Arabidopsis thaliana: one gene and its partners. The protein of the gene in region 2 interacts with the protein of the main gene of each other region in a pairwise test. Each region holds a gene or a part of one and is shown on either strand. Other genes may lie near its edges. The genes, in order: AT1G66820, AT5G52547 and ATAUX2-11.

Evidence for each region.
Region 1: the proteins of AT5G52547 (region 2) and AT1G66820 interact in a two-hybrid assay, tested with the Arabidopsis thaliana proteins (one large-scale study listed by BioGRID).
Region 3: the proteins of AT5G52547 (region 2) and ATAUX2-11 interact in a two-hybrid assay, tested with the Arabidopsis thaliana proteins (one large-scale study listed by BioGRID).

The regions. Positions count from the first base shown.
Region 1 is NC_003070.9:24,927,049-24,933,264, reverse strand, and holds AT1G66820 (glycine-rich protein), read right to left. Parts: upstream 3,379-6,216; 5' UTR 3,173-3,378; coding exon 2,843-3,172; 3' UTR 2,638-2,842; downstream 1-2,637. Other genes in the region: AT1G66830 (Leucine-rich repeat protein kinase family protein), read left to right, coding at 431-1,880, 1,958-2,565; AT1G66810 (Zinc finger C-x8-C-x5-C-x3-H type family protein), read left to right, coding at 4,646-5,257, 5,332-5,652.
Region 2 is NC_003076.8:21,321,235-21,332,674, forward strand, and holds AT5G52547 (uncharacterized protein), read right to left. Parts: upstream 6,265-11,440; 5' UTR 6,214-6,264; intron 6,204-6,213; exon of another isoform or gene 6,073-6,203; intron 5,817-6,072; exon of another isoform or gene 5,698-5,816; 5' UTR 5,609-5,697; coding exon 5,606-5,608; intron 5,407-5,605; coding exon 5,089-5,406; 3' UTR 4,629-5,088; downstream 1-4,628. Other genes in the region: AT5G52540 (keratin-associated protein, putative (DUF819)), read right to left, coding at 438-761, 828-1,075, 1,280-1,438, 1,561-1,671, 1,773-1,999, 2,152-2,468; AT5G52545 (RNA-binding protein-like RNA recognition motif protein), read right to left, coding at 2,725-2,988, 3,114-3,240, 3,326-3,399, 3,567-3,569; AT5G52550 (stress response NST1-like protein), read right to left, coding at 6,680-7,762; USP (UDP-sugar pyrophosphorylase), read left to right, coding at 9,996-10,076, 10,178-10,282, 10,382-10,498, 10,604-10,744, 10,845-10,944, 11,023-11,150, 11,243-11,314, 11,395-11,440.
Region 3 is NC_003076.8:17,544,094-17,555,037, reverse strand, and holds ATAUX2-11 (AUX/IAA transcriptional regulator family protein), read right to left. Parts: upstream 4,860-10,944; 5' UTR 4,574-4,859; coding exon 4,395-4,573; intron 4,303-4,394; coding exon 4,000-4,302; intron 3,911-3,999; coding exon 3,832-3,910; 3' UTR 3,323-3,831; downstream 1-3,322. Other genes in the region: AT5G43710 (Glycosyl hydrolase family 47 protein), read left to right, coding at 222-294, 481-590, 711-761, 935-1,023, 1,111-1,192, 1,286-1,399, 1,505-1,584, 1,676-1,811 and 3 more; AT5G43695 (uncharacterized protein), read right to left, coding at 6,487-6,668, 6,750-6,789; AT5G43690 (P-loop containing nucleoside triphosphate hydrolases superfamily protein), read right to left, coding at 7,770-8,765; AT5G43680 (uncharacterized protein), read right to left, coding at 9,684-9,718, 9,830-9,940, 10,010-10,178, 10,267-10,325, 10,400-10,541, 10,656-10,777, 10,904-10,944. UniProt on the Arabidopsis thaliana protein: Aux/IAA proteins are short-lived transcriptional factors that function as repressors of early auxin response genes at low auxin concentrations.

The DNA of each region.
Region 1 (6,216 bases), on a different chromosome or scaffold from region 2:
AACTAGAGTACAAATCAAATCGAAACGAAAAACTTAAATTGACCGGCACAACAATAATTCTGGTGGAGATTTGACTTTAGGATTTGGAAGTAAAATTGTCAATACATTACCCCACCACTAACTAAACAACTAGAAACTAGAAAAGCTATTCCTCATTACCTTACGTGTCCCCTACTGTTTCAATTATAGCCTCAATCATCGCTAATTCCATTGACATGTAAATGAGGTATATACAATTTGTTTGATGCATGAATTTAGATATAAGTTTCTTCAAACATATAAATATCTTCAAAAAATTTAGAATTGATAAGAAGTTAAAACTGTTGACTTGATTGAAAACTAGGCCAGTCCAAGCTATATAAACACTAATTTCTTGGAGATATTTAGGAGCCAAACTTTACTCAATTCAGAATTGTGTCTCTCTTTAGAGATGTCTCAGTTATTTCTCATTCTCTGCTTCATTCTAACTCATTTCTTTGCCATAGCCACTTCTCTAAACGATCAAGGTCTTGCTCTTCTTTCCTTTAAACAATCCATACAAAACCAGAGTGACTCTGTTTTTACCAATTGGAACTCTTCAGATTCAAACCCTTGTTCTTGGCAAGGTGTTACATGTAATTATGATATGAGAGTTGTCTCGATTCGTCTTCCTAATAAACGTCTTTCGGGTTCTCTTGATCCATCCATTGGAAGTCTCTTGTCCCTTCGTCACATTAACCTAAGAGACAATGACTTTCAAGGGAAGTTACCTGTGGAACTCTTTGGACTTAAAGGGCTTCAAAGCTTGGTGCTTTCTGGAAATTCTTTTTCCGGGTTTGTCCCAGAAGAGATTGGTAGCTTGAAGAGTCTAATGACTCTGGATCTTTCGGAGAATTCTTTCAACGGTTCGATTTCTTTGTCGCTTATTCCATGCAAGAAGCTGAAAACGCTTGTTCTTAGCAAGAACAGTTTCTCTGGAGATCTTCCAACAGGGTTAGGTTCTAACTTGGTTCATCTTCGGACACTGAATCTTTCTTTCAATCGCTTGACTGGAACGATCCCCGAAGATGTAGGAAGTCTGGAGAATCTGAAAGGTACACTTGATCTTTCTCATAACTTCTTCTCAGGTATGATTCCAACAAGTCTTGGAAATCTCCCTGAGCTTCTCTATGTCGATCTTTCTTACAATAATCTCAGTGGTCCGATACCAAAATTCAACGTTCTGTTGAATGCCGGTCCAAATGCTTTCCAAGGGAACCCTTTCCTCTGTGGATTACCGATAAAGATTTCTTGCAGCACAAGAAACACACAAGTAGTTCCTTCTCAACTATATACAAGAAGAGCCAACCATCATTCTAGACTCTGCATCATCCTTACAGCCACTGGAGGCACAGTCGCCGGAATCATTTTTCTTGCTTCATTATTCATCTACTATCTCCGAAAAGCATCGGCTCGTGCAAACAAAGATCAAAACAACCGAACATGTCATATAAACGAGAAACTGAAGAAGACGACAAAGCCAGAGTTTCTCTGTTTCAAGACTGGGAATTCAGAATCTGAAACGCTAGATGAGAACAAAAATCAACAAGTTTTCATGCCAATGGACCCGGAAATCGAATTTGACCTCGACCAGCTTCTAAAAGCCTCGGCTTTTCTTCTAGGGAAGAGCAGGATCGGGCTTGTGTACAAGGTAGTTCTTGAAAATGGATTAATGTTAGCCGTTAGACGATTAGAAGATAAAGGTTGGCTACGGCTCAAAGAGTTTCTAGCTGATGTCGAAGCAATGGCGAAAATCAAGCACCCTAATGTCTTGAATCTCAAGGCTTGTTGCTGGTCTCCTGAAGAGAAACTCCTGATTTATGATTACATACCAAATGGTGACCTTGGTTCTGCAATTCAAGGTAATTTTAGTGTCAAAATCGCATAAATCTATGACCATAGTTAAGATTCAAGACTGATTCATAAAAATTTATGACAGGTAGACCTGGTAGCGTGTCATGCAAGCAACTAACCTGGACGGTCCGGTTAAAAATATTGAGAGGAATAGCAAAAGGATTAACTTATATTCATGAGTTTAGTCCCAAAAGGTATGTCCATGGACATATAAACACAAGCAACATACTTCTAGGACCGAATCTTGAACCGAAAGTATCCGGTTTCGGTCTAGGTCGTATCGTCGACACGTCTTCAGATATCAGATCAGACCAAATCTCTCCCATGGAGACAAGCTCACCAATCCTCTCTAGAGAATCATATTACCAAGCTCCTGAAGCAGCTTCAAAAATGACTAAACCGTCTCAGAAATGGGATGTGTATTCATTCGGTTTAGTGATACTCGAAATGGTAACCGGAAAATCTCCGGTTAGTTCAGAAATGGATTTGGTTATGTGGGTTGAATCGGCTAGTGAGAGAAATAAACCGGCTTGGTATGTTCTTGATCCGGTTTTAGCTCGTGATAGAGATTTGGAAGATAGTATGGTTCAAGTCATCAAGATCGGTTTAGCTTGTGTGCAGAAGAACCCAGATAAAAGACCACACATGAGAAGTGTATTGGAGAGCTTCGAGAAATTGGTAACTTCTATTTAATTATTATTAATTAATGAAAAGTAATAATTTTAATTAGATTATGTGTTTACTTCATAATTTTCAGATTACTTCATAAATTTCATGTGATAATTTTTATGGTTTTTCTGTTAATCATTCATAATTGTGATATTATTATGAAAAATAAAAGGACACAAGGGAGGATATTTTTATTGAACTTATATAATTAACAAAACTGTTAATACAGTACAAAATTAACATAATGCTTTAAAAATCTTTTACCCAAACCCGACCCGGAATTATGAACCGGAGCTTTTTTTCATAGGTCAAATCTCTCTTTGATGTCATCGAAACTGTACCCGCCGCCAACTCCAAATCCGTATCCAAACCCGAACCCGATACCACAACCAATACCGAATCCAAGAACCACGTTAGAATGGTCAAGTCCTTCAGAGGCACCTATTCCGAGCCCGCCGGAGAGACCAATGCCGATTCCAGCGCCGCAGCCAATGCCGCCGCCGATTCCGGGACCGACGGTTGTTGTCTTGATGTTATCGATTTGTGTACGGAGGAATCTGGTAACCGGAAATTCTGATTTCCCGGTTTTGACGTCTGGTTTACGGCTCCAGAGTTTATTAGTTGATCCCATTGGTTTTGTGATTGGGCAAATGACGATCACTGAATTGTGAATTTATGAGTGATGAGAAAATCAGATAAGATTTGAGAAAAAAGATGAATATGCGTTGAGGTATTTATTGGGCTTATTGTCGCATATATTGGGCTTTAACCCATTTAAGTCTCTACAGATTCTCTCCTATTTATCAGTTTTTTTTAATGATAAAAGATACACATGAGATACAAATTCTTCAAGAAAATGTTAAATACAGATTTGGATTAAGTTATATGATATTTTGTTTTTAAAATGTCGTAGAAAGGGTAAGAAGGTAATTTGGGCAGGGTTGTTGGGTTAGAAGGAAGGAAACATTTTCTAGTTAGTTAGCTACAACGAAAGATTTTGATTGAAGTATATTACACATAGGAAAGAAAGAGGGACCATAGTTAGTTAAAGTTGTGCTCTTTAAGCAAACAAAACTCACATATATTCCTTACCTTACTACGGTCGTTAACAACATGAAACTAAACATACATGCATATATCAAAAAACCAATTTAATCATCAATTCATTAACTATTCTTATTCATGATTGGCCCAACCAAACTTAATAAAATGACCTATTCTTCTTTATTTTTGTTTCTTCAAACACACCAATACATACTTCCTTATTCTCCAAGTTACAAACAAAACCTCCCCTCCTAACAAACTTTTTGTTTCCATCTATTTTTTTTTTCAAAATAGATTTTTGCTTGAGGTTCATATTTATATACTTGCTTAATGAATATATTATTAATGTTTTAAGCTATTAAATACTCGAACTAGTAAACCTCCTTTGGGATGGAAGATGCATGTTATTGACTAAATATGATCTACCAAATGGATTTAACATTTTTTATGGTGAATATTGTCACTATAATCTTAAGCTTAAGAAACTATACAGCAATATAAATAGAATATTAAATTTTGTTCTCACTGTATGTGTAAAACTAAACACTAGTTTTGTTGTTGAAGTTATCTAAAAAACAAATAATATTCTGTTACATAGAAATCTTTAACGGTTCTGAAGTTGGCGCGAAAGTGAAAGTAGGTGAGAAATATTCCTCTACACTTCACTTAACCATGAAGAAGCAATTCGTTATCCAATTAAATACACTCGCTTCTCAAACAGATCCTTAAATAATCTCATCGTATGGTCTAGATTAAGTAGCGTAACAATCTTCTCGTAGTCTCTCCCGCATATTATCTTTCTCTCTTTCTTCTTCCTCCTCACCTCTCTGGTTCTCTCTATATATATATATATATACAGAGCATCGTTCATATCTTAATTTCACCGCTCTTTCTCTTTCGCTTCTCTGAGAAGTTTCAAAGCTAATTCAGGTACTCTCTCGCTCTTATTATCTTCTCTGGGAAGTTTCAGTTTCCGATTGTGATTTTGTAGATCTAAACGGATTCAATTTTGTCAATTTCTGTGTTATCTTCTTCAGGAAGCTTTCGAGAAATTGCAACAATGGAGAAACTCGCGGCGTCTACTGTTACAGATCTAGCTTGCGTAACGGCGATAAACTCATCGCCGCCTCCACTATCACCGATCTCTGAACAAAGCTTCAACAACAAACACCAAGAAGAGTTCGCCGCAAGCTTCGCATCACTCTACAACTCAATCTTCTCACCGGAATCTCTCTCTCCTTCTCCTCCGTCCTCTTCCTCACCACCATCTCGCGTCGATACAACTACAGAGCATCGTCTTCTTCAAGCGAAACTTATCCTCGAGTACGACGAACTCAACGAGCATTACGAGCTTTGCCTTAACCGTCTTCAATCTCTAATGACGGAACTTGACTCTCTTCGTCACGAAAACGATTCTCTCCGCTTTGAAAACTCAGATCTACTCAAACTTATTCGTATCTCTACTTCATCCTCCTCCTCCGTCTCTCCTCCGGCGCCGATCCATAACCGTCAATTCCGTCACCAGATCTCCGATTCTCGCTCCGCGAAGAGAAACAATCAAGAGAGAAACTCGTTGCCTAAGAGCATCTCCGTCAGATCTCAAGGATATCTCAAGATCAACCATGGATTTGAAGCGTCAGATCTCCAAACGAGTCAACTCAGCTCTAACTCGGTAATTCTCACTGTAATTTTAAAATTTAAAATTTGTTTTTATTTGATTAATGACGTCATAAATGTTTTGTGAAGGTGTCTTCTTCTCAAAAGGTGTGTGTAGTACAAACAAAAGGGGAGAGAGAAGCATTAGAGCTTGAGGTATATCGTCAAGGGATGATGAAGACGGAGCTTTGTAACAAATGGCAAGAGACTGGAGCTTGTTGTTACGGCGATAATTGCCAATTCGCTCACGGAATCGACGAGCTACGTCCTGTGATTAGGCATCCACGCTACAAAACTGAGGTTTGCAGAATGATGGTCACCGGAGCTATGTGTCCGTACGGTCACCGTTGCCATTTCCGTCACTCACTTACTGATCAAGAGAGGATGATGATGATGATGCTTACTCGCTGATCTGGAGAAGAAGAAAGGTCATTGAAAAAGGGTAATAATTAGTGGTTGTGTACAGATTTCAGATTTGATACCTTATAAATATCGTAACTTTTCTGGGTAATGAATTGGGAAGAAACATATTTGCTTGCAATAGGAATAAGGAAGGGAAAGATGTTAAGTAAATGTTTGATAGGATTATAGGAATATAATTAGGGATGGATAAGAAAGGAGAATTGAAGAAATGTGTGGTTCTCTTTTATACTTCGAGATGTTAATTCTTTTGATATGTTGTTTGTATTCTCTTGGATTAAGCAGGAGAGACTTGAAAAGGATGTTAGATTCAACAAAGATATGAAATTTATATTGATAAAGTTTTCTACTTTGTTCATAAGTATGCAACTTTCTTCCCTAAACTGTTGTGCTGCTATAGTTTTTCTCTTTCTAATTGCTGCAGTGGTGGTAATACATTCATGGGAAAAGATTGATTTGGTTTGTTGGTTATCTTGGTTTGTGTATTTATGTGTAATCTCTGCTTACTGGCTTTCAAGTTTCTGTTTTGCTGATAAACATAGACTAAGATCTTAG
Region 2 (11,440 bases):
GCACCAATCTTGAGATGGTACAAGGACAAACTTATACGTACTTCCTACATTACTATATGGTTCTTAGCAGCTTTTAGATATTTTGTTGCTTTGGTTTTGGAGAGTAGAAAAGTATTTACGAAAAGAAAGGAAAAAGACTTGCGGCACTGTCTACACTGAGAAGAGGTCATAACCTGCAAGTAAGGCCCAAAATAATAGAAAGAGATAGTAATGAGCTACGTGGTATGAAACAAATTCATTCGAAGGTACAAAGCCTCAAAATAAAACACAGTAAGGAACCCTTTGGCAAATTAAGCCAACTTGAAATTTTGTGGGGTTTACAATATAAATCAATATATATATATATATATATATATATATATATATATATATATAGAGAGAGAGAGAGAGTGAGCACTGAGCAGAGTCAGGTCCATAGTTTAGTTATACTACCATCTTCACATGAACTTAAGAACTTTAACTCCAAATGCAATTCCTATGAAAGTTGCAATGGCGATCCCAAATATTCCGGCCAGAATCCCGGGAACTATCAACGAGTTCCATCCCTTTGCCGTCGCCATTCCAGCTGCGGTCGTGGGTCCTCCGACATTAGCATTTGATGCTAGAAGCAGTAACCTTAGCTCGATGTTTAGCAGCTTTCCTATGCCCAATATCACAGCCAGATGTGTCCCAATTTGAACCAATGCAAACAAGAATATGCTCGGCGCCGTGTTGATCACACTCCATATGTTTCCGCTTGCACCCACCACTGTGAAGAACACCTGAAAGAAAACTAGCTTGATTAATATCAAGAAGGTTGCATCGTTCTTGAATTTCTTGTCTCATACCTGCATCAAAATTAGAGCCATGGCTTCTCCAGATGGAGCAAGACGACCAAACTGGGACGGAAAGACAGTTGCTAAAATAACAACAACCGCTGTTATAGCCGGTAAGCTACCACCCGAAATTCCGAAGTACTTTGTTAGCAAAGCCCCAGCCTTGCAGATAGCTAATGACACAGCAATTCCAGTAGCTATCAGTAGCACAGGAATTTTATTTTTAGTTTCAGAAGCTTCGTTCGTCTCTGCATCTACAACTGCCATAGGAGAGTAATACCTAAGTCAGAGTTCAGAAACTGGCTAGAATCGACATGAAAAAGGAATGGAACAGAACATTTTCCTCTGGATATCTAATCCAATAGAAATGACTTTCTAACTGAATATTTACACAACCTCAATGATCAATTCCAAAGGAAGCCAAATCAAACGAAACCAGACATCACAGCAACATTCAGACTTACTAGTAGTCGGTGGCGGTACAGCTTCTGCAGGTATTTTGGAGCCCAAAGCAAACAATGTCGTGAAATATACAGCGCATATAACATTATCAGCAGCCAGTCCAGCAGCTAAAACCGATGGTGTAACTCCAAGAGCATTTGATATAGCTACGTAGTTGACGGCTGGAAAAAAAATAATCACAATGCAACTTATACACCACTATAGAAATAAGTGAACAATATTGGCGCGTCAAGAAAATGGAAGATACAGATGCAGATGTTCAAAGACATGAATTTTTTGTTACCTCCACCGATATGTCTTCCCATGAGAGCAGCTGCAATCTTCCAACTATCAGGGCCAAGTGACTTCATTGGCACTAAATAGTATGCCAGAGCTGTACCCACCGTTGTGGCAACTGTTATGAAATAGCAAAGGCTCAGGTTTTTCTGATAATTCAAAGTCAGAAATATCAAGAGCATAACCATAGGAATAGTGTGAATGTTATGATCCTTATACCTGATCCAATCAAAAAGGCCAAGAGAAGCTTTCCAGTGGACTGAACCACACGACGCAAATCAGCTCTAAACAACAACAGAGGAACAGCTAATGGAAGCAGAAAATTCAACACAACAGCAAAAGCAGGAGCTTGAGAAGAAATGATCCCTAGATTACTAGCTGCAAGACCAACTAGAGTGCTGACTAACGCACCACTCATAGCGGCTCCGACCTTTGTCTTCTCCGACCTATACAATCAATCCCACACCATTTCCGATTTCAAACTTCACAATTGGTATCACACAAAATCAACTTCACTTAAGAATCAACACAACGTAAAATTCAAATCTCCGATCAGATAAAGTAACGATCGAAGTTCTATAAAGAGTGATGATCGTACCAGAGACCGAGAGCACCAGTAGCGAAGAGAGCAGTCCAAGTTCCCCATTCATCGTTGGGAGAAATGAGAGGCGTACTCAACGAACTCACAGTAACCGATCGGATCGGAGATGATGATTCCGGCGACAGAAACCTGTCGGTTCCGTTACGAAATTGCGACAACGAAGCAGGAGAGAAGCTAAGCCTTGAAGAGGTTGATTTAGCTGAGAATTCAGGTAGATCTTGGCGTGAAACAATGTACGAACGCCGACGAAATAGTCTCGACGACGACGGTAACGAGTTTCCGATCACATTGAGTAATGGCAAGCTCGTCGCCATTTGTCGCGTCTGCTTCACGACGAGGAAAAGGTGGAAAAGGGAAGTGATTAGTGGAATTGACTCAGTGTGCCTATTAGTGCGTCAACTTTTGCTTTCCATTACAAATTTTATATATAACACTGAGCCAAACCGAAATATTAAATCAAAATTGGTTTCGATTAAACCGGTAAACCAAATCAAATCAAACCAAAACTGAAAAATGGTCAGAGTCACAGAGTCACATAGACCCAAAGTTGTGTGTTTGAAAACCGTTTTCTTAAATTTTCTGTTTCTTGGGATCACGTTTCTCATCTTCTTCCAAAGCTTTGAGTTTGTTCTTAATGGCAGTTACTTTTTCGTCTCGGCTCATTTGTCCTGAGCTGCTCCCGTTTACAAATCTGGTTCTGTTTCCTTCTGGTAATGATCTTTTGGAGTGATCATGAGAGGAATCTTCTAGATGCTTCTCACTAGCTAGACGCACCACTAAAGGCCTACCACAAGCTAATCTCCCATGCATCTTCTCTTTCGCCAATTCAGCTTCCTGTATGCTCACTTTAGATGTAGAAATCAGGAGATTGCTCAATCAAAATCAAAACATTTTTCATTTCTTGAAACAATTTCATCCAAGTACAAATGCAAAACCAAGAGAGCCAGATTGTTAGTTACCTCTTTAAGGCTGTATTGAATGAAAGCATAACCCCGAGGTTCTCCTTTCTTTGGCCCGCGTGTGTGCCAAAGGAAGTCTTCTGATATGATCTTCCCATATGGAGAAAACATTTTTATCAACGAAGCCCTGTGACGAAGAGAAACTTATAAGGTATTGAGCAAAGTTTTGATCTATGGTGTGGAGGTAATATAACAAGCTGTGATTCACTTACTCGTTTATTCTAAGATCCAGGTTTCCAACATATAATCTGTTCTCACCTTTTTCATCTACAAACCCACCAGTATCCTGAAGTATATATACAAAAATATTTAGAAGATGACACAAATTAGTATAAAGAAAGAGTAGTAAACAAGATCTGTCATTGTAAAATGAGTTTTGAATCGCGTGTTTACAAGTTTGAACAAGCTAGACAAAAATTCAACTTGAAGAAATTCTTTAGAGATTGTAGTTACCATTTAGTTGAAGAAACAACTAGAGTGAAAAAGGTATTGTTCCAAGCTCAAGAACTTAAAAAAGAATGTATAGTCTGCAATTCTGCATCCACCTGAAAATAACAGCTCTCAAGAATTCAGTAAGAGTACAAATGCTTTAAGGCCAATACAACAATCAAACTATTCTTCAACACTTTAGATGAGAAAGAATTTAAAATAAACACTTTCACATAAGGACCATAAACCGAAAATAATGGCACACGAGACATGACCAATCTTTGATCAAAAGCCACAAAAGAAAGGCATAAATCAATCTAACAATACTCCAGTTAGTTACTACTCTCTATATTTGCTTAAACACTATAAAAAAAAACAGAGGCTTCTCCATGAGAATTGCAGTTGTTTAGTAAGCACAAAAGAAGATAAACCTTAAGCTCTCTATCTATTGAACAAGATCTGTGGTCAAATTTATTGTCTGTTCTAAGTGTGATTGATGAACTTAGAGTAACTATTCCCCGACATGAATCTTAATCTTACAATAATCAATTAAGAGAAACACCAGAAACAATTCAAAATTGGACAGAAATCCCTAAATTCATCGCCAAAACCTCATGGATTTCGTTGAGTGGTGGTAATTACTAGCTAGTCAACCTAGGCACCTACTTCGATTACAACTGAACAACGATGGAGAGAAGAAGCAGAGAGTTCATATGCAACTTGGGAACTAATAACAGATGAAAAATGTTGTAAAGATTTAGAGAGTATCCATGGAAAGCAACTTACAAAGCTAAAGCGTGATCTCACAGACGCAGACTTCAATAAAAAAAAAAAAGCAGGAGCAGCAGAATCGGAATTTATGGCTGTAACCAGTAAAGGACTATCCGGTTAAACGAGAAAACCGAACCGGTGATTCGGACAAAATTAGTCAATTGTCATTCATCAAGTTATAAAGCCAGCTGACTTTATTAAACGACGTCGCTTCATTTTAACCAAATAAAAGCATCTCCATATTTACCAATTGAAATAATACAAAATCAAAAGTTTGGGATACATCTGAAGGGTTTTTACCTTTTAAATTTTAACAACCTCTATGAAAATATAAACATTTGAAAAAAATGTGAAAGTGTTTGGGATACATTTGACTCTCAAAACTTGACACAGACTCTACACTCTCAAAACTTGATACACTCACAAAATTTGACACACAAACTCAAGTGAATCTTCACACGACCATAGCCTATATACTTCTACACAAAACAGAACAACACTTGCATGTACTTGCTATTTATGCTTCCTTGAACTCTTGCATCTCGACATGGACTTCATCCTTTTAAACTCTGAAATCGAATTTAAATTCATTTAGAACAGAACACAAACCAATCCATTTGAACACTAACACAAACCAATTAGAACAGAGCACAACCAAACCAATTTAGAACAGAACACAAACAACTTAAGATTCATAACCTAACTGAACAAAAACAAGTGAAGAAGCGTTAACCGAAACAAAAAAGACTAACTTTCAAGACATAAAAGACACCATTCAAGCATTTGACAATATGTCAGTGATAAGTTTGTTCTTTAAAGCCATTTCAAGATCACTAAGCGGCGCTGTTTTTCGAAGTAGAGTCTCCAACAACGTCTTCTTGCTAAGCTTCTCGTTCAATTCAAATTCCTTCTGCTTAATCTCCCACATGCTCTTAATCACTGACAGAGTCCTTTTAGCTTTCGCGGCCTTTGCCGCCTTAACACCTGATGGACGAGACATTGCTTCATCTGAATGGCTAACTGCCTGGGAGCTTGATGACTGTGCAGAAGCTTGAGATCCATCGCTTTCTTCATCTACAAACCCACCAGTATCCTGCAAGGTATATGTAAAAGTATTTAGAAGATGACACAAAGTAACATAAAGACAGAATAACAAACAAGATCTGTCATTCTACAGTTGGTTTCAATCGCGTGTTTACAAGTTTGATCCTCAATAGAAAAAGCTAGACAAAAATCAACTTGAAAGAGTTTGAACTGACATGAACAAAAATTGCATTAGAGATTGGTGTTACCATTTGATTGCAGAAACAACTAGAGTGAGAAAAGTATTGTTCCAAGCTCAAGAACTTAAAAAAGAATGTATAGTCTGCAATTCTGCATCCACCTGAAAATAACAGCTCTCAAGATTTCAGTAAGAGTACAAAATAAACACTTAATAGTAATGTATCACATAAGGACCATAAAACCGAAAATAATGGCATATGACCAATTGTTCATCAAAAGCTACAAAAGAAATGCATAAACCAATCTAACAATACTACAGTAACTCAATATTTCCTAATCACTATTAAAAAAACAGAGGCTTCTCCACGAGAATTGCAGTTAGCTCTCTCTATTGAACAGGATCTGTAGTCAAATTTATTGTCTGTTCCAAGTGTGATGAACTCACAATAATCAATAGTTCAAAACAGCTCAATTAAGAAAAACACCAGAAACAAGCCAAAATTGAACAGAAAACCCTAATCACTAGTTAGTCAACCTAGTCACCTACTTCGAGCACATCTCGACACACAACTGAACAACGCTGGAGAGAAGAAGCAGAGAGTTCATATACTTAGGAACTAATAACAGATGAAGAATGTTGTAAAGATTTAGAGAGTATCAATGGAAAGCAACTTACAAAGCTAAAGCACGCAGACTTCAATAAAAAAAAGCAGGAGCACCAGAATCAGAATTTATGGCTGTAACTACTAACTAGTAACTAGTAAATGTCTATCCGGTTTAACATAAAACCGAACCGGTGATTGGAACGTCAAAAATTAGTCACTCACCAAGTCAGAGACCACGTCGTTTCATTTTAGTTAAATGATTCTCGCAACGTCCGAATTTTTACTTTGAAGTTTGAAGCTATTGCTAGTAGCCTAGTAGTATTGAAAATGCCAGTGAATTGAGAAGGATTAAATTAAGTACAACCACAAAGGAAACAAAAACACAGATCGTATGAGTCTCACTTCACTAAAAAGCTAAAGAGAGATGAAGGATTTGCACAGTGTAAGAGACGAAAAAGTTGTTTTGGTTGTGTAAAATAAAAAACAGCACACAAACTTTTAATAAGTTACAAATGCTTGGGAATTATGATACAGTCGTCATCTTCTGAACATCCCATTGAAGACAATTGCGTCAACGTCAGTATTCTCAGAGATCTGTAGTGACGACACAGCTTGAGTATCAAACAAATCAGCTGATATTCCCATGTTGTTGTTGTTGTTATCCCATCCCCTTGCGAAAGGCTCATATGAGACTGACGACCAGTTACTGTCTCTTGTTCTGTTGTTATCATGAACCGCGTAGCTTGAGCACCGTTGGTGAGGAAAGAATCTGTTTATTCCACCACTAAAAAGATTGATTTTGGTAGTATAGTCCCATGGCTTGAAACCTGTTTCTTGGTTTAGCGTGTTTCGGTATGAGTCATCACAATCTTCGCCAAGTAAGACGTGCAGAGCAACAGCCTCTGCTATGGCGGCACCTTCCTCATCCAATCGCCTTTGTTCCTCAAGTTTTCTAAGCTTCTTCTTCTCTAGCTCAGCCCTGATGGCTGCAGAAGTAGCGATGGATTTCTCAATACGTCTCTTTTTCCTCTCTGCTTGTTTGATACGCTCCAGTTCCTCTCTCTCCTGCTTCTTCTTTGCAGCATATGCTGAATCTTCTTCAACTGCTGCGTCTAGCTGTCCTTCCTTCTTCATTTGCTTCTTCTTCTCTAGCTCAGCGCGGATCGCTGCAGTAGTAGCAATAGCTTTCTCAAGACGTCTCTTTTTCTTCTCAGCAATGGCAGCACCTTCCTCAGCCAATCTCTTTTGTTCCTCAAGTTTTCTAAGCTTCTTCTTCTCTAGCTCAGCCATGATGGCTGCAGAAGTAGCGATGGATTTCTCCAGCCGATTCTTTTTATTCTCTGCTTGTTTGATACGCTCCAGTTCGTCTCTCTCCTGCTTCTTCTTTGCAGCATCTGCTGAATCTTCTTCATCTGCTGCCTCTAGCTGTCCTTCCTTCTTCATTTGCTTCTTCTTCTCTAGCTCAGCCCGAATTGCTGCAGAAGTAGCAATAGCTTTCTCAAGACGTCTATTTTTCTTCTCAGCTTGTTTAATTGGGTCCACTACACCTTTTACTTTTTTCTTCCTGGCTTTTCTAACAATTGGCTGAGCTTGTTTGCACATCGAGCTACTGCTATCCATGATTGCTACAAGTCTTTGTTTGCCTTGCTTTTGTTAACTGGCTTCTTCTTTTAGTTGGTTGTTTCCTTTTACTTTGATTCTACCAAACTCACTACACCAAGGCGCGATGATCTCAATGACTACTACACCCACTCAGGTATGTAGGTATACCTCATTTTACGGACAATACAATCCCAAACAGAAACAACAGGAGATAAGAGAAGGGAGACGTTGTAGGAGTTTGCAGAGTTATCCTTTGAAAGCATTCGTCCTAATTTCCAACATCCCTTAACTTCTCCCATTTTCTACAAAAGAAAACAATACTAGATTAGACTTGCGTTAACAGGGATCTCAAAAATAATATACCAAACCAAACCAACCCATCTGCTTTCTTAACCTAATGAAAGCTGCACGACCACACAGTTCTATTTTCTATATGGCTATATGCAAAAACATTAAACAAGAAAGCTTTTTCACAACCAGATGTTACCCAGCTGATTACTTAATTACTCACTCAGGTTACCAACCTATAAACACAATTGCACAAGGGACCTAGAAGATACAGTGATTCAAAAGAACTAACACTGGTCAACAAACCAAGATAAATCAACCAAAGTTGAATGTACATACTCTCGATCAACATTGAAACCCAAATTCGGAAAGCTAGCCACAAACTACACAAAGTAATCCACGAAACATGGACATAAAAAGTCAATTTGAAACAAATCATAAGCCAAATTTAACGAAATTCATACTGCGCACACTAAATCCGGGACAAACTGCGATCGGATGAATCAACCTATAATTATCATTCAGAAACTAATGCATACACCAAAATCAAATCAAAGCAAACACGAAACGAGTAGGTCGATTCAGAGATCAAAACCTAAGGCAATCATAAAGTATTACAAAATCGACTCAAATTGGATTGATCTATGGAAATTGAAGAAGATTGAATCGAAGCAATTATGAAAAGGAATTGGATCCTAACCTCGGCAAAATGGCATAGAAGCAGACTACCTCGACTAACTTCTCCTGAGATTTATCGGATAGAAAGAGAGAGAGAGAGAGAGACCAAATCGCGGACGTAAAGTTACTACTTCGATCCAGAGAGAATAAACGCAGAGACGAGAGAAAGAAGATTTTGAGAAAGAAGATTTTGAGAAAGAAGAGACACTGGAGCGGAGCAATTATGTTATATTTAATCCAATTAGAAAGTAACACGTGGTGGATGATGTGTTGAGTGGAGGTTTTCGATTGGGATTTAGGGACCTAAAACTTGATTAGTCAATGATATATGTATTGGATCCACATATATTTTTCAGCCGTTAGATTCGACAAGTATTGCCATTAATATTTGATAATGAACGGCTGAGATTGGATCTTAGAGAAAGCAACAAGTGTATGAATGAACTGTCAAAAATAGAAAACCTCGTGGGCCTTTTCTGGGCTAAATCTTTTAGATTTTGATAGAAAATGTGGATGGGCTTTCATCGAGCTCCAGTTCCGCAGCGCTCTTCTCTAATATATCTTCTCCACGGTAATAATATGTTAGGTGGGCCATGTGTTATCAGAAAATTATTAAAATTGTGATTATTATTCGTAAATACATTGCTTAAAAAGTTAGTTAGATTTTGATTCGTTTCCACCAGACGAATCTTCGTAACGCATTTTCGTTGATTCACTTTCCAGCTTTATCTCAAACTCTCTCTCTGTCGTCTCGATCGATCTCCCAAATCTCAAATTCTGAATTGATTTTTTTTGTTTATAAACAAAGCAAACAAAACACATAATTTTGGTTCGGTCTTCTTCAATTTTCACCGACACAAACCCGTCTTTTCCTCTTCTCTCTCATTTCTATCAATTTTTCTCTACAATTCCCCAGTCGTCGAAGAAGCTACAGGTAAACCGATCTTCTCAATTTTCATCTCTTCTCGTCGCATTATGCTCATACCTCGCCGCGAGAGGATATCAAAAAGCGAGATTTGTTATTTTTGCATCCGAGAATTTTGGTTATGGATTACACAACCGAATTAATCGAAATTCTCTTTGTTCGTGTTTCCCTTGATCGCCACGAAAGTTTCAGATTTTTTTTTGGATTTCTTAACCGAATTTAGTTTAATCTTGCTCATGTTCTGTTTCATACCATGTTCTGAAATATTGTTTTTTTGAATCATACCTTTTGAAACTCATCGCCACCAGCTTGCAATTTGCTCGTGTTCTCTTCCATCATTCCTTTGTTAAGAGCCTCTTCATGGCTTCTACGGTTGATTCCAATTTCTTCTCATCCGTCCCAGCTCTTCACAGTAACCTCGGACTTTTGTCTCCTGATCAGGTTTCTATACTTCTGCACTCTGTTATATGTTTGTGTCTGGACTAGTGATCCATTCTTTTCTTATAATTGTCTTCCATTTCGTGATCTGGTTTTCGTGGCAGATCGAACTGGCGAAGATCTTATTAGAAAATGGTCAGAGTCATCTCTTCCAACAATGGCCTGAACTCGGTGTTGATGATAAAGAGAAGCTAGCTTTTTTCGATCAGGTTTTTTCTTTATGTTTTTTTTCTTACATCTCAGTGTTTTGATGAATGAACGTAGAAACAGGACTTAAGACATCGTTTTGGAATGAAAATGTTTATTAGATTGCTCGCTTAAATTCAAGCTATCCTGGAGGTTTAGCAGCATACATTAAGACTGCGAAAGAGCTTCTCGCTGATTCGAAAGTAGGGAAAAACCCATATGATGGTTTCTCTCCTTCTGTAAGTATCATCAAATCTTCTTTTTTTGTTGGTATGAATTCAAAAGTTCATTGTTTTATGTTGTCTCTGTTGGTTTTTAACAAAAGGTTCTTGTGGTTCTTGCAGGTCCCTTCAGGAGAAAATCTCACTTTTGGTACTGACAACTTCATCGAAATGGAAAAAAGAGGTGTCGTCGAAGCTAGGAATGCTGCTTTTGTTCTGGTTGCTGGTGGTCTTGGCGAGCGTCTTGGTTACAATGGAATCAAGGTACATAGTGAACAATGTTTCATTTACTTAATCACTTACCCGTAGATAGAATAGATAGACCTACAAACAGATTTGACCCAGTTATGAATCTATTTCTTAGGTGGCACTTCCAAGGGAGACAACTACAGGGACATGCTTCTTGCAGCATTACATTGAATCTATATTGGCTCTTCAAGAAGCTAGCAACAAGATCGATTCTGGTATGTTTCTAATTTTTTAAATCAACGTAAGTGAATAAGTACTTTTTCACATTCCTCAGTGATTGTATATTTCTGCAGATGGAAGTGAGAGAGACATTCCTTTCATTATTATGACATCTGATGATACTCATTCACGTACACTGGACCTGTTAGAGTTAAACTCTTATTTTGGAATGAAACCTACTCAAGTACATCTTCTAAAACAGGTAAAGGATCATCTATTGAGTTTCCTAGACAGATTTTATGAAAACGTAAAATGTTTTGAGAAATAATGCACTATTGGCTACCTTTTTTCTAGGAAAAAGTTGCATGTCTTGATGATAACGATGCCAGACTTGCATTAGACCCTCACAACAAATACAGTATCCAGGTACTTGTGTTCATGTTAACGTTTTCAAAGCTAGTACAAATATTTGCAGGCTGACCTGTCGTTTTCTTTGCTACTCATAGACAAAACCTCATGGACATGGTGATGTACATTCGCTTCTTTATTCCA
Region 3 (10,944 bases), 3.8 Mb from region 2:
TATTCTTACTTATTTAATTTGTTCATCTGTGCTATTGGTGCCGTGACTGGAGTGCATATTAATATAAATGATACCGAAATGCTTGGTTTTCCTATCTTTGCTAGGTCTCAACGAGTTAAAGAGAGTTGAGATTAAACTGCTCATTTTCTGCTTGCTGATCTTATCTTTTGATTCCTATATTGGAAACTCATTTATTCATGCATCTTTGTTTGTTTGTTCAGATAACATCAACTGCCGGTGGTGGTACTTTGTCTTTAGAGTTTGGCGTGCTTAGTCGTTTAACAAATGATCCTGGTGAGTAAACCAGTTTAGTCACTGAGATATATCATAAATCTGTTAGTCCTTGAGAAATACTTCTCTTTAGCTCTCTTTACTCTTCTATCATTTTCGTTGGGATTTCCAAGAGATGTAATTTTGATTTTCATAGTTTGTTGTGTTTCTTACGTGCTCTTACATGGGCCAACTTTGTTAAATTTGAAGTTTTCGAACAAGTTGCAAAGAATGCGGTGAGGGGACTATGGGCACGTCGTTCAAATCTCGACTTGGTTGGTGCTCACATCAATGTCTTTACAGGTGAATGGACACAGAAGGTAACAAAAAATGGCTTCTGTATATGTCAGAAGAACTACGGTTTGATGAACTTTGCTTCAACAAACTAATTAGTCTTTTTTTGTCACCCAAATTCTAAAATGGTAGTGTTTACTTGGCAGGATGCTGGTATAGGAACAAGCATTGATTCCTTCTATGAGTATCTACTCAAGGTTAGTAAACGTAGCCCTTGACAAGATATTTGAATTATTTGGATATAATGGCCAAGTCCTAGAAATCCAGAAAAAAATAGTTTCTGTTCTTCTTCAACTTTGCATAAAACTTGAGCGGCATTGATATAGTCCTAGACTCCTCGCTTTACTTTTGTTTGATTTGACAATTTCAGGCTTATATACTATTTGGGGATGAGGAATATCTATACATTTTTCAAGAAGCTTATAGATCTGCAATGCAGTACCTTCACAAGGATCCTTGGTAAGCTTTCTGTATCTTGTATGATAGAGAAACAAGAACAAACAATTCCTTTGTTTGGACTTACTGTTTTTTCTAGTTTTGTCGTAGGTATGTAGAAGTCAATATGGATTCCGCAGCTATTGTCTGGCCAGTATTTAACAGCCTTCAAGCTTTCTGGCCAGGACTTCAGGTAAATAGTGATTCTACGTTTGACCAAATTGTTAATATATTTCAGGCTGGAAAATTTAACTATGATTTTGTATCTATGTTTCTCTCTCAAAAGGTTTTAGCTGGAGACGTTGATCCAGCAATAAGAACTCACACTGCCTTCTTTAGCGTCTGGAAACGATATGGTTTCACCCCTGAGGGTTTTAATCTTGCTACACTTAGTGTCCAGGTACTCTATCTTAATTTTAAGTGTCTCTGTGATCACTTGTCACTTATTACGTCTGATGGCACTATGATGTTACAGCTTCATATCTATTCTTCATTTTCCTTACAGTATGGGCAAAAGAGTTATCCCTTAAGGCCGGAATTAATCGAGAGTACATACTGGTTGTACAAAGCTACCAGAGATCCCAGGTCACCAAATTAATTAGTTATATTTTTTTCAATTCTTCATCCAAAGATGATCACACTACTGAATTGCACAATGCAAATTACTCGTCGACAGGTATCTTGATGCAGGACGTGACTTTGTGGCTAGTTTGCAATACGGGGCAAAATGTCCTTGCGGTTATTGTCACATCACAGATGTAGAACTGCATAAACAAGAAGATCACATGGAGAGCTTCTTCCTCGCAGAAACGGTAAAATACATGAAAAGCTCTGTTTCTCAATATGCATTTACTTGCTTACCTTAAAGCCTTGACTTGTTTTTGTTTCAAAAATATTTCAGGTGAAGTACTTATGGCTACTCTTTGACTTAGCTGTTGACTCGGATAACCTCGTAGACAATGGCCCTTACAAGTATAAATATCTCCTCCACATTAACCTCTTGATTTTCACAAACACCACAACAATTCACTAATCTTGATAATTTTACTTAATCTTCAGGTACATCTTCAGTACTGAGGGTCATCTCTTACCAATAACACCACAAATATCTCTAGCTCGGGAACATTGCTCTTACTTTGGTGGATACTGTCCAAGCAATTCCACAAAACTAGAACAAGAAGTCCTTGGAGAAGACAGTAGTAACGATGATCACAGTAACGATTATCCTTACCACGAATCTTTTCCAGTTACCGGTTTGATAAAGGTCAGTACCAGAAATAAAAATGTTTCTTTCTTTCTTTCGGATTCCTTACCACGAATCTTTTCCAGTTACCGGTTTGATAAAGGTCAGTACCAGAAATAAAAATGTTTCTTTCTTTCTTTCGGATTCCTTACCACGAATCTTTTCCAGTTACCGGTTTGATAAAGGCCAGTACCAGAAATAAAAATATTTCTTTCTTTCATCAAAGTCAGTTTCTTTTGTTTTGGGGTTTTTGTAGGGTTTATGTCCAGGACTAACACATGCTCAGAAATATGGTTTTTCGTATGTTCTACCGGAGAAGACAGATCGTGAAGATGTTAATCAACCTAAACCGGTAGTTACAAGCAGTTCAATTGTGTTAATCTCGGATCAAACAGTGGAGAAGAGACCACAGGAAGAAGAAGGATTTACTTCTCAGTCTGAACCAATAATGACAATCTCTGGTGGTAGTAGCAACGACCAAACAGGTCAAGAGCTAACCTTGTTAGAGTCAGAAACTGATGATCAAAGATCATACTCTTCTTAAATCTCTCATTTATATATATGTTCCACAGAAGAAGATTACAAAAACTTTTGTTAGAAATATAGATTCAGTTTTCCAATCTCATCAAGAATCTTGAATCCTTCTTTTGTTGATCGATTGTTGTCTCATCATAATCATCATCATCATCATCGAGACAACTAGGTTTAAGTATTTGGTAAAATTCTTGACTTAATAATCATCTTGCATCAAGAACATTAGGTATGAATGTAAAAATTGTTGGTGCACAAAGGAAAAACCTAAATTCAATGAACCTATCTATACCATTTTAAAATATTACTCTAGTTCCAAGGTTCATAGATTATTATAAGTGATAGTGGAGACAAATTAGCACAGTTGGGTAGATTTACTTGTTTAAGGTATGGGGGACCAAAGTCACAGTTGGTAACAACAAAAGATAATATAAACATTTCCAAAGCCCCAAAAATATTCTCACTGCTCGATTAGATTTCTTATTTCTTTAATCTTGGTGACTAAACATGTATAATCTAAGTTTAAAGAAACTAGAATCCAATGATATATGTTTAGAAGCTGGGATTATTATTTTTACCATAAAGCAGCTTTGGTTTAATGATTTGTCTTCGTTGTGTTCATCTACAAGTTAGGTTTAATGTTCTGTGTTACAGTTTTGTAAAGACAGATCTTAATTTGAAGAGAAACAGAACAGAAAAATGGGTAATTACATCAAAAACATCAAAGTTGTTCGATAAGAACATTATAAAAAGTGAAAAACACAAAGATAATCTTCAGATTAGATCTTTCTAATACCACAAAACCTTTCTCTTTAATGGAGACAGAGTTACAGCTAAAGTTTAGATTTAGATCTTTCTCACACTTTTATGCTTAAGACCATTTTAAGCATCTCTCTTTTTACCGATGAGGTAAACATTCACAAAGTATGATTGTATGAAACATCTCTCCCCAAGAACCCGAGCAGTTTCAGAGCTATATTTACTCTGTTTCAAGAAACAGAACAAAAAACTCTGTTTTTGAATCTTTCTCTTTGATCTTTATCTCTCAATTAGGTTTGTTAAAGACCACCACAACCTAAACCTTTAACTTCAGATCCTTTCATGATCCTTAGCCTCTTACAAGACGAAACAAACATCCTGCAATAACAACAAAACACCATAAATACATAAACAAGATTGTGTCATAAGTTAACTAATTTGAGAGATAAATGAAAATTTGTACTTACTCCCAAGGAACATCACCAACAAGCATCCAATCACCATCTTTGTCTTCATAAGTAGGTACAAAGTCTGAGCCTTTATATCCTTCTCTCTCAAAATATTCTCCCACAGAGAATTTAAACATGTTTTCAAGTGATTTCATCAACTCTGGATATTGTTTATACATCGTTAGATCTATCTTCCTTAGATATGGAGCACCATCCATACTTACTTTCACATAGTTTCCTTGACCTTCAGATTCACTCTTCTTTGTCTGAACATTGTTCTTTCTGTAAGATCTAACTGGTGGCCATCCAACAATCTGAGCCCTATAAAACAAGAAATAGCATAGATTAGATTAGATCAGATTCACAACTCAACACACATTTTCAGAGAAGTTGTATTTGATTCAAACACTTACTTTGGAGGAGAAGCGGTTTCAGTTTTTCCAGTGGATTCAATCTCTTTCTCAGTAGCTTCAGGTAAAACTCTTTTGTTGCTTTTTCCACAAGAAACAGTTTCTTCTGTCCCTGGTAATCCCAATCTCAGCTCTGTTGCCTTTAGGTTAACAAGCTCATCATAAACATCAACTTTTTCCATTTCTTCTTCAAAGAAAGAACCTCTTTGTTTTTGTGTGTTTTGTGTTCTTGTGGTTGTCTAGAGAGAGAGAAAGACTTGTTGATGAGATAAGAGGCTTTGTGAAGAAGATTGTTTTATAGGAATTGAAAAGTCACTTTTTTGGTAATTTAGAAAAAATGGGATTAACTTGATTTAAGGACAAAGGCAAAAGCTAAAGCTGTCGGGTAGTAAACAGTAGCAGCAACTTTGAGGCAAAGTGTGTCCCATCATTTTGGGGACATTTGTGGGACACTTTCATCTTCAACACAAAGAAAGATACTTTCTTTGATTTTAGAGGACGGTCTAGATTCATTTCTCTGTAGCCCTAATTCAAGGAAGTGGGGTAGAGTATGGTACACTCATGTGCAGAATATAAAAAACCTTTCTCTTTTGTTCAAGCATTGAGTTATTGTAGGGTAAGCATTACATGTACTGTGGTCTGCCATATGCATTTGTCACCTCTCTCTCTCTCTCTTAAAGCCAAGAACTTACTCTTTCATCTATTTGTGGTTCATGTGATATCAGGATTAGATCATCCTAGTCAATTGAGTTGAAACTCTAGCTGTCTAAAGTCAAACATATTCATAGTCTTTTTTTCTGTGTTTGGAGGATAAGATTTTGAGTTTCATTGGGTCTGATTGGTAGCTTCATGTGTGTCCAACTAGTATTTGAGTTGGGACTTTCGAGAGTATTAGTAAAGAAAAACAAATAGTATTTGAGTTAAAATTATACTATTTGTTTTTCTTTACTAGTTTTCATGAAAGTCCCAACTTAATTTGTCTCTCTGTCTCTATGAAACTTCTAATGATCTTTATATATATGAATCCAGGAACAAACTGACAAGAAATCTTGCCAAAAGGTTTTGTCTTTAGACAGTTCATTATCTATGGGGTCTTATCGTTTTGGGTTTTGATTTCTCTCTGACTTTGTTTTCATGTTACTACAGCAAGGCAGTTTATGTACTTGTCATGCTTTAGTGAACCAATGTAAACCAAACCTAACCTAATCTCTTTGGAGGACCAAATTTGAAAACCTATGTTCAAGACTATTTTTTTATCCTAAGTTTGTTTAGTCTCGATTTCAAATTTTTTTTTTCTGTAGAAAAAGTTTTGAATCGTTACACATTAAGGGGTATTATTCAGTCATGGATTTCAATAGAATCAAATCCAACACTAATCCACTGTGATTGATGATTCTAAATGGTGCTTAAATATTTGTGATTAATTTATCATTAGTATTATGTTATTTTTGGCACATGACCTCCTAATAGTCTAAATCCTTCTTCTTGAGTATGATTTATGGATTACGACATTTGGGAAGTGAACATTTAGGAGATTGTTGGTTTTATCCGAATTGGTCTCAAAAAGGAGAATTTTAAAGGTAGTGAGTTTGGTATTTATTGTTACACGGTAGACGACAAGACTTTGGGTTCGATTTGAAATGTGAAAAGTTGGTTTCATTGCATGGTTGGCGTTAGAGATTTAAGTTCATGACTAGCTTATTTAGCTAGAAATCAAATACTGAAAATGAGACGTATCTAACAACAAACCGGTTCATGGCATTCTCTCCGGTTCCGGTTCTTTTGGACTCTATGTTGGATTGATCCACCGTTGGATCCAATAAATGATATAAAACAGCTACACACATGATCATACATATACAGCTTCATAAGTTATAGTTGGTGGGCAATATATATGCTTTTATATCATCCTAGTGATTATTCTAATGGTGGCTGGTTTGATGAAAAATTAGGCATCACCTCTTCCATGTTGAATTTGTTCTTAACTATCTTTTTTGAATTTTTTTACATAATGTTCAATATTTTTTGTATGGACTATGCAACAAAGTTTTATTATTAGTGAAAACATATCTTATTCAAAAAAGAAAACGGAAAATTAACATAGACATAAACAAGGAGTAATTCTGTTGTTAGGAATACATTTCATATGACATCCATCCATGCAGTCATCATCCAGTAATTTCACTACCTGCGGCGAACCTTCATGATGCAACTGAGGAATTTCTTCAAGTAATAACCTTTTCGCCTCAACATTTCGAACAGTAACGATACTCATCACTACAAAATCAGAAACTATAAATAACAAATTTTGTATATAGATTTTTGTTATTTGCTTCACACGTGAAATATAAATTTTACCTGATGTAACAATTAGGCAGATAAGGAAAGCAAACTTCATTGGTATTTTTTTACTTTACAATATATAGCGGAAGTTGTTACACAAAACTCGGGGTACTCCCCAATACGTAGAAGTACAACTATTTCTAGATACAATAGTTATATAAAGGGATCTACTGTAAATTACTAATTATTTTGTTTTTGTTACCAGCCAAATAAATACTTATCAAATTACAAGGAAAAAGTCCAGTTATTGACTAAGTAAAATTATATGAATTTATTACAAAATTTTGTAAATATACATGAGACTAGTATAACTGATATTCTACAAAAAGTCGGTAACAAACTAACAATATAAGACCAATTCTAGAGTGCAAACTAGAAAACAAACAGTTTAAGAGTTACAAGAGATAGATCATATAGTTTTGAAATATGGAAGCAAATAACAATCATCAATCCATATTCTATATTGTAGTTTTTATTTGAATTGTGGCAAGACTTTGGGTTCGATTTGAAATGAAAAACTTTGGTTTCATTGCATAATGTTTAACCTGTATATATATAATAGGAGAGTCCTCTCTCCATTTAGGGTGTCCATCTAAGCATCCATATAAGCAACACTATTTATTTTATGTTAAAATAAATTTAAACATTCATTTAGTGCATATTTTTGTTACTTATAATCATAAAAAAATGAATAAACAAAAAACGAATTATGTAAAATAAATGAGCTGTTAAAATAATAAAGTTATACTATAACTTTTTTGTTAGTAGTAATAATCTATTATACCACACATTTTATTGTGCCTTTACGGTTAGGTGTATCGGTATTTACTCGGGCAATCATCATATCTTGAAATAGTTGTATTATGAATATACATGGAGTTGTGTCAAATTCACACTTTTGATTTTTGGGCCAATCACTATGCATTATTTTATTGAAAGACAGTCAATACTCATAAATCAAAGGAACATAAGAAACAGAAGGTAGTTTTATTATAATGCATATGTGAAAAGCTACAAACCACAAAGAACACGAATCTAGAACTTCAAGTCCGAACCTTTTAATTTCTCCTCGATGATCATGTCGATTTTGTTCTCCATTTCGGGAGTTAGATGATTCTTCCAGTCACCAACTTCTCCTTTGCGGAAATAGCTTTTGTAGTCATAGTTCATCCATGTTTTTCCGGTTTTGTTAACCTCCAAACCGCTCAGATTACCAAGAGAGCATAGTTCCAAGAGTTTGCTAATCGAACCACTATCTTCTTCTTCCTTAGTGAAAGGAAACCCCAAAAACTCGGCAAGCCTCTTGACCTGGACACACGGCTCTGTTTTCATTTCCTCGTACCTCATGAAAAGGACATGCTTGGGGTTTTCCAAGCTGCCTCTCCAATAGCTTAGAGCATGGTCCCAAAACGGACCATAGAAGCTAACTCCGCCACAGAATGACTCGAACATTGACTCAAGAGTGCTTCTAGATACTTCATTGTTGCTATACTTGGACCTGAAATGCCAATCCGATATCAAAACATCCTTTATGTTCCTGCACATATACACAACCTTGCATGGAGAACCCTTGAGGCCCTCTTTGAAGGTGTGTAAAGGCATGTGAGTCGAAAACAGCCTCGGGGATGATGTTGAGAACTTGGTTAAGTCCGGTGTTGAGGTTTTGAGATACATATCGAACTCAAAGAACGGTACTATGCCATGAGGATTATCGGATAGCAAAGGATGTGTGAGGGGATCATCATCAAAAGGCTGTTTAGATCTCTCCACGATTGCGACTGAGAGTGCCTTGAGCCAAGTTGTACCGGATTTGGGGAAAGACGCGAGAATAATGTCGGTGTCTTGCGGCTGGAAGTTTCTTTGGTAGTTGATGACTGCTTGGAGAGTGTTGTGGTAATACCAACATCCTTGGTACTTGCAGAGCTTCACATGAGAATCTTGGTATGTAGGAAGTGAAGAGATCAGAGTTTTTGTTTCTTCACTTAGGTTGTCGTCTCTCGCGATCACAGGAAGATCACTTTTTCCAGCCATTTCTTTCTTAATATGTTGTACACAAATGTGTTGTTTCAATATGCAAACATCACCTATATGAGTAACTCAAGTTTCTTGTTGGATGAATATTTTAGCTTTAAAATAGTAACAATTAGTGGTGGTTGAGAGAATATCTTGATGTTAAATATGTGTTGTGGTTGTCGTCTCTTCATTGCATAGTGCGTTTTAAGCCAATTTATTTGTTAATTTGTGCTACTACAACATGTTTTATTTTAAAATGCAAACATTATTATTTAATTTCTGGTAGGTACATATTAGTCAAGTTTCTTGTTGGACGAATCTGATGAATATTTACTTCCAAAGTAGTAACAATATTGAATATTATAAGCTATACAACAGCTACCCTAATACTGTATATACAGTAAAACTTCTATAAATAATAATGTTGGGATGTTATAGACCTTTGTTAATTAAGCAAAAGCTTCCCTTTAACCCAACTCTCTCTTAGTGGTTATGAATCAATAGAGACCCTTATATAGTCTTGATACAACTTAATCATAACCTTAATTTTCTTTTATAAAGGAAAACTTTGAGAAAACCATGGATGTCCATTGGATTTTTATAACTACACTTGTAAAAATACACAAAATTTTATAAAATTTAATAGATCTCTACTCTTTAAAAAAACCCAACCAACTCTATGCAAATCCAACTCACACTAAACCTCCGAAGTAAACAACAAAACCTAAACCTATAAAGCGGAAGCATTAATTACAAGATGAAAGAGTGAACTGACTTCGCTCCAAGTTTAGCTCACTTGTTGCCGCATCAGAAACAAAGGTCCCTCAGATTCTTGGCTCATCGAACATAAAAAAAAAAACAGTTAAATAACAAGGCCTACTCTTTTGTACCTTGCCGGTGTCTTGTGATCGATGATGGTCCCCAAAACTTTTGAGTTCAATTTTCTCCTTTCCTGTCACTGAAAAACTTCCCTGCAACACTCACAAGAATAAAGAAAAGAGTTTAATCAATACGAGTTTTGAGTTTTTTTGCTTTGATCTTAACTGTACAACAGATAGACTAAAGAGGTTGTTTTGTCTCACCTTTCAAAGCTGGAGTTTCTTTCTCGGCTTGTGCGAAAAAGCTTTTCGCCTTGTGTGCTACTTCCGCTTCAAGAACCGCCTCTAACATTAAATCAGATCCTCTTGCACTCTCTGCAACCAAACATATGGGAATAAAGTGAGCAACTTCGGTTTCTAAACTCAAGCTATAAAAGATTCTACCTTTGCGTTGAGGAAGCAACTTTGCCATCTCAGCTGATACTGGAAGAACAGGTGAATCACTGTTTAGACTGTGAGTTTTTCCATTGACTGTCTCAGATAATCGTGCAAATGATGTTGCTTGAGCGTGCAGGTTAACAGAAGCTGACGACGAGCCACTAAATTCTTGAGCCTTATATGAACATAAAAATACAAAAGTGTGAATTTCACAATTCAATAAATAAAAAATGGATCAAGAAGGATCATAACATCAAAAAGACCTTTGTATAATGATCTACAGGCTTCTGTTTTTCTTCAACATTAACGGATGTAACAATCCCTAAAATACAACAAAACCAGATCATGAACAACAACATGCAAGAAAGAGTAATGACTATTGAGTGTTTTCTATACCATTGGTGGTGCTTGGACTAGGTTCTTGAGTTTTTTGGTTATCCACTCTTCGAGTCAAAGGACTAGAATCAAATAGAGAAAATCTTGCTCCATGGCTAATCGCATCTACTTGTGCTCGTAAATCTTGAACTTCTTTCGATATCTAAACCAAGTACGAGAGTAATGTAAGGCAACAAGACTTCAAGGAATATGTCATTCGAATTCACTACAACAATGATGTTGAGATAAAACAATGTTGATGAAGAAACAATCAAACCTCTTGCATCTGAGGTTGTTTCATGACACCATCCAAGTGACCACGAGCCATATTGATGTAACCAATGGCTCGTCCGAATAATCTTCCTCCTGCTCTAGCAATAATCGGAAGATCCTTGGGTCCTGTTAAATCAGAGATTCACATTTGATTCTTCCAATTAACACTCAAATCATTCGATTCCAGAGAAATTTGGGAGAAGAACACAAAGATCGGAGCTGGTAAAGCTTTTCGATTGAAGAGAGACTAACCTACAAGAGCAGCTGTGGCGCCGACGATGAGTAAGAGCTCA